Danio rerio: one gene and its partners. The protein of the gene in region 4 interacts with the protein of the main gene of each other region in a pairwise test. Links are inferred from orthologs where the notes say so. Each region holds a gene or a part of one and is shown on either strand. Other genes may lie near its edges. The genes, in order: l3mbtl3, kifc3, ccnb1ip1, prkaa2 and trip6.

Evidence for each region.
Region 1: the proteins of prkaa2 (region 4) and l3mbtl3 interact in binary tests that used the Homo sapiens proteins (3 or more experiments, as listed by UniProt). The two-hybrid records come from large-scale screens. The link is inferred for Danio rerio from reciprocal best matches to the Homo sapiens genes PRKAA2 and L3MBTL3.
Region 2: the proteins of prkaa2 (region 4) and kifc3 interact in binary tests that used the Homo sapiens proteins (3 or more experiments, as listed by UniProt). The two-hybrid records come from large-scale screens. The link is inferred for Danio rerio from reciprocal best matches to the Homo sapiens genes PRKAA2 and KIFC3.
Region 3: the proteins of prkaa2 (region 4) and ccnb1ip1 interact in binary tests that used the Homo sapiens proteins (3 or more experiments, as listed by UniProt). The two-hybrid records come from large-scale screens. The link is inferred for Danio rerio from reciprocal best matches to the Homo sapiens genes PRKAA2 and CCNB1IP1.
Region 5: the proteins of prkaa2 (region 4) and trip6 interact in binary tests that used the Homo sapiens proteins (3 or more experiments, as listed by UniProt). The link is inferred for Danio rerio from reciprocal best matches to the Homo sapiens genes PRKAA2 and TRIP6.

The regions. Positions count from the first base shown.
Region 1 is NC_133195.1:2,225,406-2,229,242, reverse strand, and holds part of l3mbtl3 (lethal(3)malignant brain tumor-like protein 3), read right to left. Parts: intron 2,939-3,837; coding exon 2,854-2,938; intron 2,174-2,853; coding exon 2,079-2,173; intron 1-2,078. UniProt on the Homo sapiens protein: Is a negative regulator of Notch target genes expression, required for RBPJ-mediated transcriptional repression. It recruits KDM1A to Notch-responsive elements and promotes KDM1A-mediated H3K4me demethylation.
Region 2 is NC_133193.1:48,507,722-48,512,112, reverse strand, and holds the start of kifc3 (kinesin-like protein KIFC3), read right to left. Parts: upstream 2,960-4,391; 5' UTR 2,085-2,959; coding exon 1,782-2,084; intron 1-1,781. UniProt on the Homo sapiens protein: Minus-end microtubule-dependent motor protein. Involved in apically targeted transport. Required for zonula adherens maintenance.
Region 3 is NC_133182.1:19,534,543-19,539,052, forward strand, and holds the start of ccnb1ip1 (E3 ubiquitin-protein ligase CCNB1IP1), read right to left. Parts: upstream 2,815-4,510; 5' UTR 2,406-2,814; coding exon 2,383-2,405; intron 2,167-2,382; coding exon 1,863-2,166; intron 1-1,862. UniProt on the Homo sapiens protein: Ubiquitin E3 ligase that acts as a limiting factor for crossing-over during meiosis: required during zygonema to limit the colocalization of RNF212 with MutS-gamma-associated recombination sites and thereby establish early differentiation of crossover and non-crossover sites.
Region 4 is NC_133195.1:8,217,785-8,222,210, reverse strand, and holds the start of prkaa2 (5'-AMP-activated protein kinase catalytic subunit alpha-2), read right to left. Parts: upstream 2,898-4,426; 5' UTR 2,888-2,897; coding exon 2,794-2,887; intron 1-2,793. UniProt on the Homo sapiens protein: Catalytic subunit of AMP-activated protein kinase (AMPK), an energy sensor protein kinase that plays a key role in regulating cellular energy metabolism.
Region 5 is NC_133182.1:19,978,376-19,982,212, reverse strand, and holds part of trip6 (thyroid receptor-interacting protein 6), read left to right. Parts: exon of another isoform or gene 1-83; intron 84-3,614; 5' UTR 3,615-3,623; coding exon 3,624-3,828; intron 3,829-3,837. UniProt on the Homo sapiens protein: Relays signals from the cell surface to the nucleus to weaken adherens junction and promote actin cytoskeleton reorganization and cell invasiveness. Involved in lysophosphatidic acid-induced cell adhesion and migration.

The DNA of each region.
Region 1 (3,837 bases), about 6.0 Mb from region 4:
GTATGACTTTAAAATAGGATGAATCGACAAATTCGGTTGGTGGTTCGAGCCTCGGCTCAGTTGCCGTTTCTGTGTGGAGTTTGCACGTTCTCCCTGCGTTCGTGTGGGTTTCCTCCGGGTGCTCCGGTTTCCCCCACAGTCCAAAGACATGTGGTACAGGTGAATTGAGTGGGCTAAATTGTCTGTAGTGTATGAGTGTGTGTGTGAATGGATGTTTCCCAGAGATGGGTTGCGGCTGGAAGGGCATCCACTGCATAAAAACTTGCTGGATAAGTTGGTGGTTCATTCCACTGTGGCGACCCCGGATTAATAAAGGGACTAAGCCGACAAGAAATGAAGACTCGCCAAATTCACACAGCATGATTTGAATTGCCGACAATTCAATTTTTCTACTGCTAAGATGACATTTGTCATTATCAGATTCCCTCTTTCATTAAATTGAACAATATATAGGCTAGAGTAGTTACACTGACACTGTAAAACATTTATTCTCATGTACAACACTCTGTGTTCGCTATGACAGAAAAAGCTTTAATATTAAATGCTTGTCGTAATCATAACTCTATAATGCGATATGAAATTTTTAAATGATGTGGTTCATACTTCACGCGCGGCTCCCAAACGATCGCTCTGTGCAACAAACTGAATGTTATTCGCGACTGTATTACCTGATATTCACAGCCTATGAAGGTTCTGTTTAGAGATGCGCGGATGGGCTACTATTTCATCCGCAACCGCATCATAAAACTCATTATCCGTCCGCCATCCATCCGCACTAACATTTTTTACCTATTTTTAAAACCGCACCCGCCCGCCATCTGCTGACTGAGCTCTTTATTTGAATGGCTTATTCCTTTTTATTATTAAATGAATGTTTCTTTATTGATTATTAGAAAATAGAGAATGACTTTAATGACATGCAGTTAATCCAAACGTGCAAGTCAAATCCAGCATTAATTGACGCTTTGAAGTGACGCTAAACAATACGAGGACGTGTCGTTTCACTTGATTCGATTCCTTGGTCCTTGAGGTTTTTTTTTGCGTCCTTCCCTCGCATCCTATAGGGGTGGAAAGACGAGGAAAGAAAGCAAGGAAAGGAAACGAGGATACACAAATAAGAAATGAGAAGCACCCTATAAAGCTCTCAGAATATCAGCAGTGAACTCCGTCTCCAATCGGTGCACAGGGACAAAAATAAATAAATGAAACGCACTGTACTGTACAATTTTTTTTTATTATAGTAACCTAATAGAAAACGCATTTTGACACATCATTTCAACATTCAGACGAGAACGCCTGGCCTCTAATGCGCCCTGCTGCACTGAAGGAGCGCTCGCTCGCGGCACTTGTTGCTGGAATGCATAGAATTCTCTTGGCAAGGTGCTGTAGACGTGGGAATGACTGCCTTGTTTCTCCCAAAAAGAAAGTAGATTTTCCTCTGCTGATCCGTCTATTCTTAATTTTGTAGAGGAAGACTTCTGTACTTCATCCAGAATTAGTGTATCCGATTCCTCCTCTCATTCTGTGAAGTCAGTCCTAGGCTTTTTCGTTGGTGCGCCAGCTATGTGTACAAAAACAGTACAACCGCCCGCCACCCGCCCGAATTTAATTAAAATATTATTTTTCGTCACGTCATCCGCCCGATCCGCGGTTTATCCGCGGAATAACCGCCATCCGCGCATCTCTAGTTCTGTTCACTAAAGTAGACTTCATTCACATGCGCCCGCTCTCTCTATGGTACCAGCTCACAGTCAGCTCACATCTAGTGTGATTTCACGGCCGTGAATACGTCATTCCACGAAGAAAGAAATGGCATTTTCGAGTGATTTATACCTGATAAACAGTATGTGACTCTTTTATTAACATTTGGAGGAGTCCATATTGCTAAACAAAGTATATAAAACATTGTGAAGACTTGTGCGGCCGCCTTTTCTTCTCTCCTGAACTTAAACATATGATTGGCAGAATTGTAGAAATGCTGGATTAAGATCGTTTATATGGGTGGAATCGAGATCGCAGTTTTTTCTGATTAATCGTGCAGCTCTAGTGCGCGCGTGTGTGTGTGTGTGTGTGCTGACCTCTTTGAAGAGTTTGCTGGGTGCAGCGATGGCTCTCTCCTGCTCCAGGTACGAGGCCCAGCACCAGGCCTTCTTCTTGCCTCCATACGGCACCGCTGCATCATGGGAAATATCAGAGTCAGACTCACCTAGAAGCATCTGTTTGTGTGTGTGTGTGTGTGTGTGCGTATGCACATATGTGTGTGATTGTCTGTGTGTCTGAATGCATGTTTAGGTGTATGTGTGTGTATGTGTGTCTATGCATGCATGTGTGAGTGTTTCTGTGTTTATGTTTGTGTCTATTTACATATGTGTGTGACTGAGTTTCTGTGTGTGTGTGTGTGTGTGTGTGTGTGTGTGTGTGTGTGTGTGTTTGTATGTGTGTGCGCGTCTTTTCTCTGTGAATGTGTACGTATGCATCTGTGTGTATGGGTTTGTGTGCATTTACATGTGCATGTGCGTGTGTGTGTGTGTGCACATAGGTGTGTGATAGTCTGTGTGTCCGTATGCATGTTTAAGTATGTGTGTGCTTCTGTTTGTGTATTTGTGTCTGTGTACATAAGTAAGCATTTGTGTGGGGGATGTTTGTGTGTGTGTATGTGTGTCAATGTAGGCATGTGTGAGTGTTTCTGTGTGTATGTTTGTGTCTATTTACTTATGTGTGTGACTGAGTTTCTGTGTGTGTGTCGGTTTGTGTGCAATTACGTGTGTGTGTGTGTGTGTGATTCTGTGTGTCTGTTTGTGTACGCATGTATGTGTGTGCATGTGTCTATGCATGTGTGTGCGTGTGTTTCACTGTATCGGAGCAGTGCTGCGTCTCCTCTGCGTTTCTTGCGTCCTCGTGTCGCTCCTCTGGCTGGTCGCCTGCTTTCTTTCTCTTCCTGTTACACACACACACACACACACACACACACACACACACACACACACACACACACACACACACACACACACACACACATATCTGATGTGAAACCTGAAAGCCAGCAGATCAGAAACACACACTTGACTCTACAGTATTTTCTGTGTTTTTTCTTTCGACATAAAAGTGTACAATCACTTGTGATCTTATTTCAGATTAGTTGAAGGATAAGCTCATTATATATCGTATAATTAGCTCATTATTTCTGAAAACAAAACAAATCTTTTTACTTGTCTAATCTGTAATAAAGCTGTGAAAAAGGACAGCATTGAAAACATCTGCTTTACAATGACGTCCACCAAGTTAGCTGGATTCAGGGTTGCCAGATTGGAAATGTCAAAGTATCGTATCAGACCCTCAAAATTATCGTATTTGGAGGAAAATTATCGTACACGAGTCAAACTGAGAGTATACAGCTATTATCTAGACACATAGCGTTTTGACACAACGTGCAAATTACCACAATACGTTAAAAAAAAACTAGGTACTTAATGGGAAGGTTCAAACTCCACCTCTGAGTTGCTGTAATTGAATGTGGCATGTTGCCAGATGTTGAGGGATTTATTTTCTGAGGTTTTGTTTTAATGAGACTAACTTTGTAAAAAAACAACATGTTCACAAGACGCATTTGAATGGGGAAAAAACGAGAACATCAAGGGAAAACTCTTGTCCCGCTCACCTTCCTTTACAGCACAAATTGTTTTAACATTATTGCTTAAAGGGCACCTATGGTAAAAAATCTACTTTTCAAGCTGTTTGGACAGATCTGTGTGTTGGTATAGTGTATAGACCGTCATACTGGGGTGATATGAACACACCCAGTCCTTTTTTTTCAATTTAACTACAAAAAAAGGGTCG
Region 2 (4,391 bases), on a different chromosome or scaffold from region 4:
AATTCTAGCAAATCCAGATTTTTGCTAATTCGTCAAGTCAAAGCATAAAGATTGAGGAAAAGGGATAGCAGTAAACAGAGCGTATGCGAATTAAATTATGATTAAAGGGGACAGAGAGCTCTCTGATTAACCCACTGCTTGCGTAACCACTCAGGATTTGATCTGCTAAAACGATCCATCAGACTGCAGAGAACATTAGAAATGGGACATTGGGAGGATAAACATGATTCCAGGTAAATGAAAATCCCTGTGTGTATTATGCAGAAAGAACATTTACAAAATGTTCCCATAGTGAATTACTCCCACCAGAAGCAGCTGATCACAGAAATTCTGGATAAGGATGAAAAGTCGAGAAAAACGCACTTGATTGATTAAAATAGCTCCAGTAGACTTGATGAAATTCACACACTCAGAAAAGGAATATGTTCAACTTAAAGCCGTCTAAGGTTTCTTCAAATCAATAATACAACGCACATAAATAATGAGAAGAAATCAATGAATAAATAATTGCATTTTGGATTAAATGGAGGTTTTCCAGTAGCAGAGAGACTCATCAGTTACACTCTTCCAGCTTGAGGACTGATCGGTCAAAAACAACACTTAATTCCCTGCAGAATCTACAGTAACATACTGGCAGCAATTTACCAGTAACTTACTGTAAATCAAGTACAGCAAATAGACTGTATTTACATTTACAGCACCATTTATCTTGTATTTACAGATATGTATGTATAATAGTTTTGGGTCAATAGGCAATGCCATCGTCGATCGACAAAGGCCGAGAAACATCCTCTGCCCCGCCCCCGTCGCTAGAATTACACACTCAGGCCCCATTTAGACCAATACATCTTAGTATTAAAATGGCATTTTAGAACGAAAACGATCCACATCCACTGGCGTTTTATCTAGCACTTCTGAAAACATACTGCTGAACACACATGGCATGTGCTGCAGCATTTGCGCACGTCTGAGCTCTAGGCAGTCAGTGGGTGCTTTGAGCACAAAATCCCAGAGAGCAGTGCACTTTGGACAATTTATTAAAGATGTACCGCTGGATTGCATCTTATAGATGTTAAACTTGATATTTAATTAATCTTGTCTCTATCTAACGACTCCTCTGTCTTTTGAATCTATCAGGTAACACAGCGTCAGTACACTGCTTCAGTCTTTCGCTTTCACGCTTGTACTTTTAGTAAATTGTAATTCTAGCTTAAACCTCAGATACTGTTGGATGGTTCCTGTTGGTTGTGCACCTTTTTTTTTACCAACCAAGTTTTTCGACGCCATTATAATGACACAGATCACTCTGCCTATTCATGCCAGAATCCCGCAAAAAAAAATATTGACCGGTTGGTCATTTATGTGTAATTTATCTTTATTCATTTATGATTTGGTTATGTATAAAACAAAGACTATGCAGGTCAGGTAGTCGCAACGGGTGGCTACAAATTATTAATTTGTTATGAATAAATAAATGATTCACTGATGCCATCGTCCATCACGATGTTTCACATTAGACATCGTACGATGCCAAATCGGTCAACATCGCCCAACCCTAATGTAAATCTTTACTGTAGAATATACACTAATTTTCACAATGCAGCATTAAAATACAGTAACATACTGCATGAGTGTCCTACAGTAAAATACAGTTCACATTACAGCTAAATACTGTGTAATTTACAAAAATCGTTAACAGTGAACATTAAACTGGATGGCTGCAATGCAAACAGCCTTCAACTAACAACTTTCTTTACTTTAACCTCCATGTTCACGCTCACCTGTGCTATCTTCCTCCTCTCCAGCACATTATCCTGATGAACAGATCTTCTTTTACTCGCTCTGCTGCTGAATCCGTCAAGGCATCTATCAACGTCACTCTGCCCATGCACTCTTGAAGTCTCTAGTGGTCCAGAACTTCCAGGAATGTGGTGTTTGTTTCTCTTCTTGCGTCCGTGTTTGCCTACATCTGGTTTGTGCTTCTCTGGGCTTTCGATAGCTTTGGGTTCAACGGGATCCAGGACTCGGGGTCTCCTAAACAGGTTGTGAAGAGACAGCAGCACCAAGGTGCACAGAACATACATGCTGGCTTGACTACTGGAGACGTCTCCACACACACATTTAGACGGAGTATCCTTTAAAAGCGATTCTGGATGATCCCATTTCAGGGTGAGCGCAAGCACTGAACACTATCTTCTGGTTAAAGTTACAGTCGTAATATAAACTCTTCCGAATTGCGCAGCAATGAGCTTTATCGGTCGACGTGAAGGTGATCAGCCAGTTTAGAATCAAGTATTGTTGAGTTCTTGCATGTCTTCCCACCACTGTTTTCACTCAAACAACAACTCCTGGAAGGTAAGACCGTGTTATTCCAACACCTTCGAGCTCCAGAACTCTCACTTAGGCTTGATAATCTGTCTGTGATCTGATCAGCAAATGAGATGGCTTTCTCATCTCCCAATCTCGTTCAAGAGAGAATGAGGGAGGGACGACTACCGCACATCTGCTTTTAAACCCCACAAAGCCATTTTAACCTACCTGGACACGTCTATAAAGATATCGCCTGATAAACAATGTAAGCCAACAGCATGATAAATGCTTCTTTAATCAGGATACATAATATTTAGGTGCTTATCTTCCCCATCTGCACGCCTCTTCTTTGGAGATCTTCCAGAAGATTACAGGTGTATTCCAGTGAAATTCGATCGAAAGAGTAACCATGAAACTCTCAGTCGTAATCTCCATTGGCACTTTGACAAATCATCACCTCCACTTGCGTCAGTAATGGTTTTATTGTATTTTTACAGTCACTGGATTGCAGGACAAAACTCACAGGTCAGACCACTCCTTTCATAATGCCTTGTTTTGATAGTCTTTATCCCCGTTTTTAGGTCCAAATGACTGGGCAAACTCCAACCATTCATAACCCATCCAACTCCTGCGATGCTGGTGTAGTCCTATAACTCCGAGAGAGAAAATGCTTTTCACTCTTTCGCCCTCCCTTTTCTCATTGTGTCCATCTGTCACTGCAGTCGGACAGCTAAGCGTCTCTTAGCCGATGATGTAACAACAGTGTTTGCATCTATGCAAAATAAGGAAAATCAACTCAAAACATGTTTTAAATGCACTGCTGAGGATAAAGAAGCTGGTCTGTGATTGGTCGCCTCCGTGGTAAGATGACCCTGTTGAACTGCGTCCTACAAAGCCATCCATCATGCTCCTGCTGTGTGACAATGGATAGAACATAATATGGAAACAGACAACTATGGGAATGTGGCGCAGTGAGACCTGACAGTGCCAATCTAGAGTGATCAATTAGGATTCGGGGACATAGAAGATCGGCGCTGTCTTGTGCTGGTACTTCAGGGGGGAAAAATTGAATCATGTTTGAAGTGTGTGCGCAAGACAAACAAAAGGCCATCTTCTGGTTCATTACCCTTTTTAGGGGCCGTTCACATGCTTCAGACCAAGGGAAAACAACAAGAGTGCCTGTTCGAACCAAATTAACCAGTATAGAAGTAAGTGCTCAAACTAAAGTGGCAGGGCTGGGCAAATCTACAAACAGAAAACTACAAACAAACAACAATTTTTTTTATATACAGTTGAAATCAGAATTATTAGCCCCCCTGAATTATTAACCTCCCTGTTTTATTATTATTATTATTGATTATTATTATTTTTTATTTGTTTATTTTATTTTTTAAACATAATAGGTTTAAGAACTCATTTTTAATAACTGATTTATTTTATCCTTGTCATGAAGACAGTAAATAATATTTGACTAGATATTTTTAAAGACACTTCTAAACAGCTTAGTGACATTTAAAGGCTTAACTAGGTTAATTACAGTAGGTTAACTACGCAGGTTAGAGTAATTAGGAAAGTTATTGTATAACGATGGTTTGTTCTGTAGACTATCGGAAAAAATAGCTTAAAGGGGCTAATAATTTTGTCCTTAAATTGGTAGTTAAAAAATTAATAACTGCTTTTATTCTAGCCGAAAATAAGACTCTCAAAAAGACAAAATATTATCAGACATACTGTGAAAATGTCTTTGCTTTGTTAAACATCATTTTGGAAATATTTAAAAAAGAAAAAAAACATCAACAAGGGCTAATAATTCTGACTTCAACTGTATATAAGACAATACCAAAATGATGATACAAGTTGAATATTCTCTTCTTCAAAGGGGGCCTCTTACACTCATTTAAACAAGATGTAAAATAAGTCCCTATAGTGTTTGTGTGTGTGTGTGTGTGTGTGTGTGTGTGTGTGTGTGTGTGTGTGTGTGTGTGTGTTTGTGAAGTATCAGCTGAAAATACCACAAAAATAATTTTTTATAATGCTTTGAAACAGCAAGTTTAAGGCTGTGATCCAAATTGTGTCGTTTT
Region 3 (4,510 bases), on a different chromosome or scaffold from region 4:
GATAACCAAACAATCCTACCCAAAACTTGCAAAATCAGCCGGATAAGAACTCTGCATCTCGACCTGTAGCCGCAGGAAAGGGTGTTCAGCTGCTGGACGCACATGAGCGCAAGACTGCGCTAAAACCAGTGGATTTAATAATGTTTCTCCACAAACACACGTAGCCTAATCTTGGTGCGTAAAGGGTTTTTAAAATATAAATAAATATTAATTAAACCATATAATCATAATGAAGAAAGAGTATACAGACTAATGGTGGCATTATTATTTTAATATTCAGCTTCACCGCCGCCCTAATGCCAGATTGTGAAGAGAAGTGGAGAAACATCTTGCACCGCCTTTATCTTAATTTCGTTATTGCCAAAATACCCGTCATCATTTAGAGTTTATTTTAATTTGATTTGTTAAGCAAGATTTCTTTTCATTGGTGTGTTGGCCAATTTAAAGGCTTAGTGCATGTACCTAGACCTATAGAGTGCTGAGATGTTACGATGTTACAGAGGACTTATTTTATTTATTTGTTCCAACTTTCAAGTGGCCTATAGTCTGCGCTTGTTACGAATAAATAATGTTAAAACATATAAATGACTCATTCTTGAAAAAATGCATTAGAGCTGTGTGCATGAGCACATTTGAATAATGTCGGGCTGTAAACAGGTTTGGGCTTGATAAAGCTGTCAATCAAAATGTACCTGTCGGACTCGGGACCTATCGGGTATAATTTTTATGGCCCGATGACAGCTCTCTGCTTTCCCGCTGCTGTTCCGCGGGAGCCGGCCAGATTTCTTACGGTGTGGGAGCAAATTTCTGAATAAATCGCGGGAGAGATGTGTGTGTGTGTGTGTGTGTGTGTGTAAGAGAGAGAGAGAGAGATGCTGTGCGTTGCGTCGCTTCTCTCTCTCTCTCTCTCTCTCTCTCTCTCTCTCTCTCTCTCTCTCTCTCTCTCTCTCTCTCTCTCTCTCTCTGACCGCGAGCCTAAGGTCGCATAGAAGTTATGCAGTTTCTGAATGGTTTAGGCTCAAGCCTACAGTTTGGTGACGCTGTCTGAGCCTTACGTCATTTTTTTTTTTTTATTACGCCGGTAATACCGGATACCGGGGTAAAATATGGAGGCGGTTTGACGGTTTTAAAATTTGGATATCGCCCAAGCCTAGTATCTAGTTTTTACTCGGGACAAACTTTAAGACAGTTTGATATATTTTTAGAATATATAGTTGAAGTTAAAAATATACATATATATTTTAAATGTTTTACAAATGATGTTTAACAGAGCAAGGAATTGTTCACAATCTTTCCTATAACATTTATTCTTGTGGAGAAAGTCTGATTTGTTTTTGGTTTTTTTGGCAAGGATAATAATAATAGCATTTTTTTAATTTAAAAAAGAAAAATTTTCAGGTCACCATTAAAGTCATTTTAAGCATTTTTGAATATTACAAATTCTTTTTTAAACAGAAATAATATACAGGGGGCTAATAATTCAGGAAGGCTAATAATTCAACTGTATATATCATATATCTTTGTTAGGATATGACACTGCTTGGTGGATATAAAACTATTTGAATATCTGAGGATACAAAAAAATTCTAAATAATGAGAATAATATTTTGAACAACCTAAAAGTTGTCCAAGCTTGTTACAGTTGTCCAAAGTTACTAGCAATCCATACAGCAAAAATGAGTTTTGATATATTTACAGTAAGACAAAATGTGTTCATGGAACATGATGTTTACTTGATATTATAATGATTTTTAGCATAAAAGAAAAATGGAGCCGTGTAATATATGATATACAACTATATAAAACTGTAAGCAATATGGTTTTGTGGTCCACGGTCACATGACACCACACAATCATCAAACCTGGTAGATCCAAAAGTCTATTGCTTTATGACTGATTTCCAAAACGGTTTCAGGTTGTAGTCCGACCAGAACCATAGCTTTGTATTGCTCGGATGGGGTCAGCTCGGTTCGCAGGACGTCTAATTTGCCGGAGAGCATGGAGGAGCAGGCGGGACAGACGGCGGGGGTGCGGCTGAACTCCTCTGAGCCGTGCTGGTCACAGAAAACATGGGAGCAGGCCGTGACCCAGGCCACACCGCTCAGCTTCACCCGGCATTTGTGCGAATTACACAGCAAGGTGAATTTAGATGCAGACATGCTGGTTCTTGAGGAAGGAAATAGAACATGTATTAACAGCAGGGTAGTTACATACGGTTAGAGCTGGTGGTGAAAACGGCGAAAAACAGTTAGCAAAGACGCATTTCCAAGCTATTTCTTGCTTCCTGTTCAAATACTAAAGCTGATATTAAATTGTTTTAGCGGTTAAAAATGTATATCGCTCTTTACACTTATGTAACTTGCTAATGTGGTGATATTTTACCGTGATTTTGCGATTGTGTTCATTACAGTCAGTCAGGGAGTCTCAGGTAGAGCGTTTCGCGGGCTTTAATCAGGTGGCCTCGTCTGATTGGCTGCTGACATGAATCCAAAGAGCTCTTTGATGAATCTCAAAAGCGCCGTTTAAATAACTTTATTTACTCTTGACAAACTCTTTAGACGGTTTGGTAAAAAATAATATGTTTATGTAAAGAAAGAAAGAAGAAATCACGTTAACTGGTCAAGTAAGTAAAACACACCAAAATATGTGTCTTTACTTTTCTTGATAATGGAGTTGGACGGAGTGTAGTTGCATTATGTTTACAATATAGCAGGCAGGGGGTTTCAAGCTCAAACGCTACAGACCCACAATTGTGATAATATTTGTTCAAGATGAAATGTAAAATGCATCTGCATCATATTTTGCATAAAGACCATTTTAATTGTTAATAATAATATAAATGCGTCTGAAAATTAAAGTTTCAATTAACCCTTAATTGGCCCACAGGGTCAAATATTTTTTTTATGTCCCCTTTATCTCAGGGGCTTGACATTCTGTGACTTTTCCTAAATAATTTAAAAACAAAAAAAGGACTTCATTTGGTTGTTTTAAAGATGTGAAAACAAATCATCATCAAGCTCATCTCAGTCAGACTGAAGTCACATTAGAAATGAATGGGAAAAGTGAAAAAAACTTTTAGATTCATTTGTCCAAACAAAGTTGTAAACCCTGTTAAATCTGAAATGTTTTACATTTCTAATTTCTAGGATGTAGAGCACAAATGGAAGATGAATCGAACATTATATATCTCTTGCACACACACAAACACGCACACGCATGACTACAAATCTACAAATCTTAGGGCCCTATCATACACCCGGCGCAATGTGGCGCAAGGCGCGACGCAGTTGTTGTTTGTTCGTTTCAGATTGATACAAGAGTTGTTTTGACGTTTTGCGCCAAGCTGTTTAAATAGCAAATGCATTTGCGCTCATATGTGCGTCCATAGGCGTTCTGATCTAAAAAAGGAGACGTGTTGAGGCGCGTTGCTATTTTGAGAAACTATAATAGTCTGTTCTATAGACCACATTGTTGCCAACTTAGAGACTTTGTCGCTAGATTTAGCGACTTTTCAGACCCCCCTAGCAACAAATTTTTTTAAAAAGTGACTAGCGACAAATCTAGCGACTTTTTTGTGTGTTACTGGAGATTTTTATAGACTGTCATTTGTCCATACTGTACCGTCCCTACTCTTCTCAACGAGCTGAGGGTGATGCCGCCGGCCCCTCCCCCGCCTCAGACCACTGACAGGCGGTCCAATCAGTCCTCATACAGCAGCCTCTTCCACCTGCAACCTCACCCCTCTGTGTACCGACAGCAAATGATTTTGCTCCGATCTGCTTCTGGTTTATTTTAACAATTTAATTTGACTGTTTATTCTTTTCTTGTTCACAATCACAGATATTTTAAGTGACAGTTTTGGAACTTGTCTGAGCTTATTACACCAGAGAGATTACTGCAAATTCATTACACATCTATACTGATATATTGTGTTCAAACAGCAATAAACTTAGTTAAATTGACATGCTTACATAAAGCGTAGTGCTAATATAAATACTCCTTATTGACCATAGGCTGTTAAACAAACAGAAATGGTAGAGCGAGATGACATCAGTAATATGCAAATTAACGTATGATGTAATGTAGCGACATTTAGCGACTTTTCGGGCAGAGCCTAGCACCGAGGAAAATCGCAACAGTGATAGACCAGTACAAAGCCGGTCTATTGTCCAACGCAGAGCGCGTTAGTTGTGCACCTCGCTTACACACTACTTAATACACACAAGATGTAGAGCCATACACAAATATCTTTATATATGAAAAAAAAATTCAATTTTAAAGATATATATAGGATATAATAAGGATATATACTATGGGATATAAATATAAAGAATTAAATATTATAAAACATTATTTTCATATAAATATAAAAACCATACTTTCATGCCTTCTTCTTCTCCGGCGCCTTGTGCCACATTGTGCTGGGTGTATGATAGGGCCCTTAATGTTTATATATAAATGAAGAACTAATACTAAAGCACAAAATCAACATGGAACAAGCATGTTCACT
Region 4 (4,426 bases):
ACTTGCGCACAACCCTGCCTAGGGGACTACAGGAAGTGCAACTGGTGCGATCGGTTCCGTTTGAAATAGACTGGACAAACAGCGATGATCGAGCATCCACAATTTTTTTGTTTGTTTTTTTTAAAGAAAAGTTTTGTTGAATTAAAAGGTGTACCTATACAGCTTTATTTTCCTTGTTTTGACACATTAAAACATTGTGGCTAAGAAATGCTTATTTGGTGTGGTCAGAGATAAATTTGGTAAATCCTTAATTTTGAGCCCTGAAAAGTCCTGTGAAATAAAAACTGATTGCATTGCGACAAACTATTTGCTCATGCACACAGAGCAAGCTATTACATAATACATACAAGAAGTTAAATGAATACGAAGGCATGTGGACATAACACAACATCTAAATAAAGTCATTTTAGCATAATAAAGTCAGATTTATGCATATAAAATATATTTTCCCAACAAGAAAAGTTAGTGAAAATGGCAAGTGGCTAGTAAAGTTGGAAATCTACTAGCCACAGTGGCTGGTGAACGAAAAAGTTGATGTCAAGCCCTGTGTGTGACAAAGATGCATAACTTCCATCCATACTACAAGCATTGACCACTTTTTAAATACATTTTCTGTTCTGATCCCAAGCTTAGGCAAATAACTGAGAAAGCGTCAATATGAAACCACATTTTTAAGATTTCATCTAGACCAGCGCTTCCCAATAGGGGGGTCCCAGCTCACAAGGGGGCCTCAGCGAGCTCTGAGGGGGGTCAAGTCATATTTTTAACATTTTTTAGCAGAGGACAATCAGGAGAATCATTACAATCATGTTGCCTTAGTTCATTTTATTCCCTGGCTGACCAAAAAAATTGACAAATTTGTAATTCGTCCTCCACAGTCTCACTGATTCGCCTTTAGCAGCTAATAGTAATGACCTAAGCATATATTGGACCCTGGTGAGGAAGCTCCAAACATTTCGAGTCGCAGCGCTAGCAATACTGAAAACACGAAATGCAGAAAATACTAAGATGGTTACCTGAATTATGGTTTTATCTCATTTTCTCAAAGCAAAGAGTCCCTGACCCAGCCACAGTGTATTATCTGTGCCAAAGTTCTTGCTAACAAATGCATGAGGCTGTCTAATATAATAAAACATTTGCATTCGACTCATCAATACCGCAACATGCTCAGAGCATTTTTTTAACTCAAGGCAAAATAATTGACACACACCCAATATGAAAGGAGGGTCAGGACAGCTACAGACAAGAAACTTTTATAAAATTGGAAACGAATATATATGGAAAATTTTAAGGCTTACGTTTTTCAGTTACAAATGGCCTTTGTTTACATTAGGCTACTATTTGTGCATAAACATATCTAGACATAATATTAAACATACCGTTTGTTTGAAAACAACATTTTTATGTCATCCTGACTGCAAACTTACAATATTCACAATATTTTCACAATATTTTCTGGGGAAAAAAGGAGGTCTTATGCAAAAAAAAGTTGGGAACCACTGATCTACACTTTGTACAAAGAATTTTACATTATTTAAAATTACAAAAACATAAAACCCTTATTGTAATACAATTTATTAGCCCATTTCATAAATACTATTTTGTATTTATAATATGTGTTTGAAATACTTGTATCATAAATACTGCCCATCCCTGATGGCATACATGAACAGATCTCCCAAATATTATCAAAATACATTTACATAAAGTTTGCAGTATTTTACCATTACATTGTGTTTGATTTTCGTACAGCCTACTTTGCTTAAACAGTTTTGTAATGCTTTGCCAAGTAGTCGGTTAGTTTGGATCTTGGCTTAAAGATTTTTTAAATCCCTATGGTAAAAAAATAATAATTAATCTTAATAAAAGGTTTGCTTTACTGCACTTTCTAACACCATTTTTTGCCGAATTAGAATATAATTCCTGAATCTTGTCTCTTGCAAGTTGCAACCAAGAAAGGGCCATTGAGATGAATGGGAATGCTGGTCTATGAGCCGTGTCCAAAAATGCTGCCAAGAATGCAGTCTAGGCATTTTAGTATTAGAACATATCCCTTTTTTAAATTAATGCACATACAGGAAACGTAATGTGTGCACAAACAAAGAAAAAATGTATATCGTTATTGATTGGAGTCGATTAATATATTTTTTTACTGCAATGATGCTTAGCAAAGCTTAAAAACAGGGTTAACGTATACCCGTGCGAAAGGTCATTCCCAATATGAACGGCATTCCCACTAGCGCTTAGAATAGAAAATGACTGCAAGGTCAAAGCAGTTCTGCAGGTAAAGACACGAACTACTCCATTTATTTCAGAGCTGCTTTCACGATAATTATACATATATTCCTTTGAGACACGCGTTTTATAGACTGTCATTTGAGTGTTGGAAATTACGCATATGACAGTTAAAGAGCGCAGCAGGGAGGATGACAGTGCATTAAAATGAGGAAAATAGCAAACGCTGAGAACGCGTAGTTATATTACCTCAAAACATTCCCGAAATGACATATAGTTACTCAAATGTTGTGATACCAAGCATATAAACAAACAAGATTGCAAGTGCACTGTCTACCGTGGTGCTGAAAGAATTCTAGTTCTGCGCAATATTCACGAACAAACATACGCAATCTCTGCGTCTGAAAGCCGTTAGCACAGCCTCTCGCTACGCAGTTTATGCTACGTAAATTACGCACAGTCCGCCGGCAAGTTCAGCACTAACAGACCCGAAAACATACGTTCGCACTTCTATTGCACGCAACATCAGGGCACGTCTAATAAATGAACAGACTTAACTCTTCACTTTTCCAAATGTTCCGACTCCGAGCGTGTCTCCGAGGATGTAGTGTCCTATCTTTACCCTGCCTTCGTGTTTCTGCTTTTCAGCCATTTTACTATGTGAGGTCCTCGGGCTGCCGTTACAGGAGGCGGGATTGCGCGCATGAGGTGGACTGAGCTCGGCTAAAGCCCTTTTTAAGGGCTGATCTGAGTTCAGCTGCTGGAGAAACTGTAAGAGTTGTGTACCAAAAGGCAGATCTCGGATCAGCTGATAATGTGATCGCTGTTGGGGAAGAGGACGCCTGGGCGTTTAGGTAAACAAGTATCCCCCCAGCGTGACATAACTACAAATGACTCTACATGAATTAATTTTGAATATAGGAATATTTAAATTTGATGTTATAGTGATTTTGTAACATTATTAGGCTACTGCTATTGTGTTTATTAATAATTTGTGGTAATTTTATATTTTAAGCCTATTCTGCGCCTTTGGGATGCATCAAATTAAAATGAATGCAAAAGCATCTAAATTTGTAAAAAAGAAATTACGTTAACTTAATTTATTCATGTTGTCCCAACACAAATCGATTTTGTGGAACCCAACATTTTTTTTACAGTGATAGCGTACTAAGGAACAGTTCACAAAATTGTCATCTCTAATAGCTATATAGAGAGTTGAAGTCAGAATTATTAGCCCACCTTTGAATTATTTTTTTCAAAATTTTATATAAAAAATTATGTTTACTATGTTCAACAGAACAAGGACATTTTTTACAGTATGTCTGATTATATATATATATATATATATATATATATATATATATATATATATATATATATATATATATATATATATATATATATATAAATAGGCTAGAATTAAAGCAGTTTTTAATTTTAAAACCAGTGTTATACATTAACTTGCTTAATTACCCTAACCTGCCTTATTAACCTAGTTAAGCCTTTAAATGTCACTTTAAGCTGTATAGAACTGTTTTGAAAAATATCTAAGGGATAGCGGGGTAAAATGTAGACAATCTCTATATATATATATATATATATATATATATATATATATATATATATATATATATATATATATATATATATATATATATATATATATATATATAAAACACGACACAGCGGGGTTAGTTGTAACAGAGTGTTACAATTAAGCCACACACTGTTAGACACCAATTGAACTCACACATTTTTTTTTTAATTTTAAGTGTAATGTTGAGAACTTTTTAAATACAATTATTTTTAATAGAATTTTTTTTGTTTTATTTTGATAGACAAAAAAAATATTTTATTGCTAATACTACAAATAAATTAATTGTATTATAATGGAAAATAATCCAAATAAATCCAAATGTTTTTATCCAATAAATAAATAAACATTCTGTGCTATGTAGAATAAAAATAATAATTGAGGTACTGAGAAAATATTGCTACTATTAAAAGTAAACTAAATTTAAATTAATTGTGTTTAATCTGCCTTTTTAAGCATGCGTTACAACTAACACTCTGTCTGTTACAACTTGCCCCACAGGTGGGGTAAATAGTAACATTTTTACTCCTGGGACTTTTGGCAACACTGCACAAAAAACATAGGTCCAGCGATCATACTTTCAGTGCTCATTTTTAG
Region 5 (3,837 bases), on a different chromosome or scaffold from region 4:
TCGCTGATTTCATTTTGCAGATGAAAACGAGCCGAGACGAGGCAGATGTTCTGTAGGCTTGGAGTCTGCAGCGTTTTCAAAAGGTAACGTTACGGGAAATTGTTAATGTCCTATTGTTTAAATAACCCACAGAACACACCGGACGTCAGTAACCATAGATGAGCAGAAATCCGCGAGCGTCACGTTCATGTGTCGCGCGCTTCTGTCAAGCACTGCAACGAATCACAACCTAAAGCAGACTGCAATTCATTTATTTTAAGATTTAAAAAATGGAGTCATACGGGAGATACATCGGCCTAACAAGCCACGGCTTTGAGTTCGAGCTTTCACTGGTTGTAGTGCAATGCAAGACGGTCATATTGGATGTTTATGTGGTTAAGAAACTTGTTTAGATGTTGTTCAGTGTAATTATTATAGATCAATGTAGACGTGAGAGCTGAATCAATGTTAAGATAGCATTGATGGTTAACTGCTCATTACCTGGCTATTTGCTTGTGTAAAACCATCTTCTAACATCAACAAACATACAGCACGCTACAAGTTATACTAAGGTGGTCAAACTGTTTTTGGGGGCAATTTAACTGGTCAACCAACATTACCAAGCTGTTTTCCTAAATACAGTAGTCAACATTCGAAGCGAATCAAAAATGTTTTTCAAAATTGTCCTAGGACAAGAATGGCTGTTGTTCAATAGTTTTAGGAAATCTTTGATGAAAGGTTATGATCCTCTTCAAATGTTGACTACTGTAGTTCAGCCCAATTGAAGATTTACTCTTCTTCAAGTGGTTCCAACCCTTTATGAGTTTCATTTTTCTGTTGAACACAAAAGAAAAAACTTGAAGGCATGCATGTTAGAAACCTGTAGCCATTTACTTTCATAATAGGAAGGTTACACATTTTCAGTATTTTTCAAAACAGCTTATTTTGTGTTTAACAAAAAAGTACATATAAGGGGTGCGAATTACAGGGGCTTTAGGGAGATATGACCCCCCTAATTACCACTTTATCCCCCCTGAAGGATGTCAGAACAAGATGTATGGGGGGGTCAGTTGTTTAATACTGAGAAATATTTCACTCTGATCTGTATTTTAAATAATATTAATTATTAAAATAATAGATAATATAAATAAAACATTTGACCACCGCTATAACGGTAAAAAAATTGTTAATGCATATTTGCGCCAATCAGTCAATGCGAGAACAAAGTCTGAAAGAGGCAGATCTAGAGCTCCAATAGACATCATGTTCACAAGACTTGTTCTCGTAAAATGGGTGTTTACATATTTAGCCTGAAAAATATGTAGTTTGTAGTTTAACCTACAGTAACATCTGAAATCGCAAATTAGAGAATACTGCAGGTCAGAATACACTAAATGTCCCTCAAAATGCTGAAAACCTAAATCTTTTAGTTTTTATTAATAAACTAGATGAAATTAAAAAAAGAAATGCATAAATAAGTGAAGCATGTATACACAAACTAACTGAAACAGCTGACCCTCCTGATTGTCAATATATAGTCCAAGAGTTCACAGTATATATATATATATATATATATATATATATATATATATATTATATATATATATATATATATATATATATATATATATATATATATAATATCGCAATATATATCGCAGGGGAAAAAATATCGCAATGTCAATTTTTTCCAATATCGTGCAGCCCTAGTTCACACTTAGCTGATGATTAATTATAAAGCTAGTTTGGCATGCTGTCCTGGGGGAGAGCCATGAGCTCAAAAGATCGTCAAGTCCGGGGCTCCCTCCTGTTTGCAAGGCGAGAGGGGAGTTTGAGCTCAGGTTGATCTCGAGAACTCCCCTGCTGTAGAAGCTAATGAACAGATAGTGATTGCTCTTAAGAGATAACTACTTACTAGGAGCATGTCTATAATGCTGATTTGGATTAGTCAATTAACTTAAGTTGTGTTTTTGGACGGTGGGACGAACTCTGGGAACCTGGGGGTAAACCCACGTGAGCATGGAGAGAACATGTAAACTCCGCACTGAAACGTCGACTGGCTTGGTAAGGACTACAACCAAAGATGTTCTTGCTGTGAGGCAACAGTGCTAACCACTGGGCCACCGTGTCAGCCATCTAGGAAAGGAGGAGGAGTAGGGGTGGAAGGGGGGATCCTCAAAAACAAAGGTGGCTGTGATATGGAACTTAGGGTATTTTATAGTGGCTTAGGAATTATCTGATTGGTGAATCATAAATTGGATAATGAGGGACCAGCCGCAAGCAATCATAAGCATGCGATCCTCTCGAAATTAGTTTATAAAAAAACTCCACTTCGCATACTGTATATGTATCTATACTGTATTTACTCCGTCTCAAACAGGTTTGTGACAAGTGAAGGGTGAGTAAAAGATGACAGAATTTTCAGTTTTTGGTGAACTGTCCCTTTATTCTGGCTTTTCAAGTACAATTTCAAAAGACTTCTTCGTTATGTAATGCTTTACAAAATACTGTTGTTGGTGATTTGGTTGTGCTAGACTACTTTCGACCATTAACAAACAAACCATATTGAGGTGAAGTTGGTTTTATATTAACACAATTGTCCAGTGACAACTTGTGACATGCTCCCTATATAGTTTACCATGCCACTTTGAATATTCGGCCTGAAACACATGTAAGTATGATTTGAAAATAACATTAGCACTATTTATTTGACTGTAAACAATGTTTTACTTTGAGATCATTTGTGTTAATATAATTTCCCTATTTAGAATTTGCAAAAGATGTTTTTGTGAAATTAAATTATTCAGAGGAAAGTGCAAATGTGTGAAAATAAAACCAACTTTACCTCAATACGAACCAGCTACTAGTTAGTTCTACTAATGTGGCTAAACTCTATATTTGGGCATGTTAACTGCTCAACCAGCAGATTACTAGACAGCCATCTTAAGCTAGATTCTCAGAGGACTTGTTTGTTTTCTAATACTTTTGTAAAATACTATTGTGTTTACAGCATCTTATATTGTTGTGAGGTTTGTTTTCATAAGCTTATAATAACAAGCACTCGTCAGCACTTGGATACACAAGCACATTGTCTGGCGAACACCTGATGGCACAAATGAAAAGTTGTATATTACACAACACTTCCTATCTTATTTTCATGGACAGGCTCTGTAGATAAAGTATTGTGGATTAAGTGTTGTGGACAATGCCTATTGTACCTATGGGAGACTCGAGAGCGGAACGAATACATTGCAAATGTTGTGCACCTGTGGGAATTGTATGTTTGTTTTGTATGTGTGTGAGAGAGAGAGAAATGCTGTTTGACTGAGGAACCCTGGAATTCCCCTTTCGGCTGAGAATGGTTCCCTTTTCCTGCTTTTTAACTTGGTGCCTATTGTTATCATGGAAACCATGCGTTGCCACTGGAGACAAAGCATAAAGCATCAGTCTGTTTTGTGTAGTTACAGTTATGCATTTTATACAAGCTTGGGCAGCACTTCTATAGAGCCTGAACTCTTAGGGATTGTTGTGTTATACATTACATCTAATCATATTTAAAATACTCAAATAAGTGACTTTAAACCTACAAAGTTTCACAATGGTGCCATGGTTTATATTGTGTGTTGTTCTTGTAGAAGTCTGATATGTCTGGTCCCACCTGGCTGCCTCCAAGGACCCTGGGTAGCCCAGACAGAGACACAGCACCAATGTCACACTCTGGCCCCGCTCTCTACAGACCTCCAAAGAAAGGCCTGCCCGAGCAGAGGCCCAAATATAACATGTATGACCAGAATGGTGGAACGGGAGGAAATGGCATGCCCATTAGATATATGGCTACTGGACCTTCAGGTAAGAACT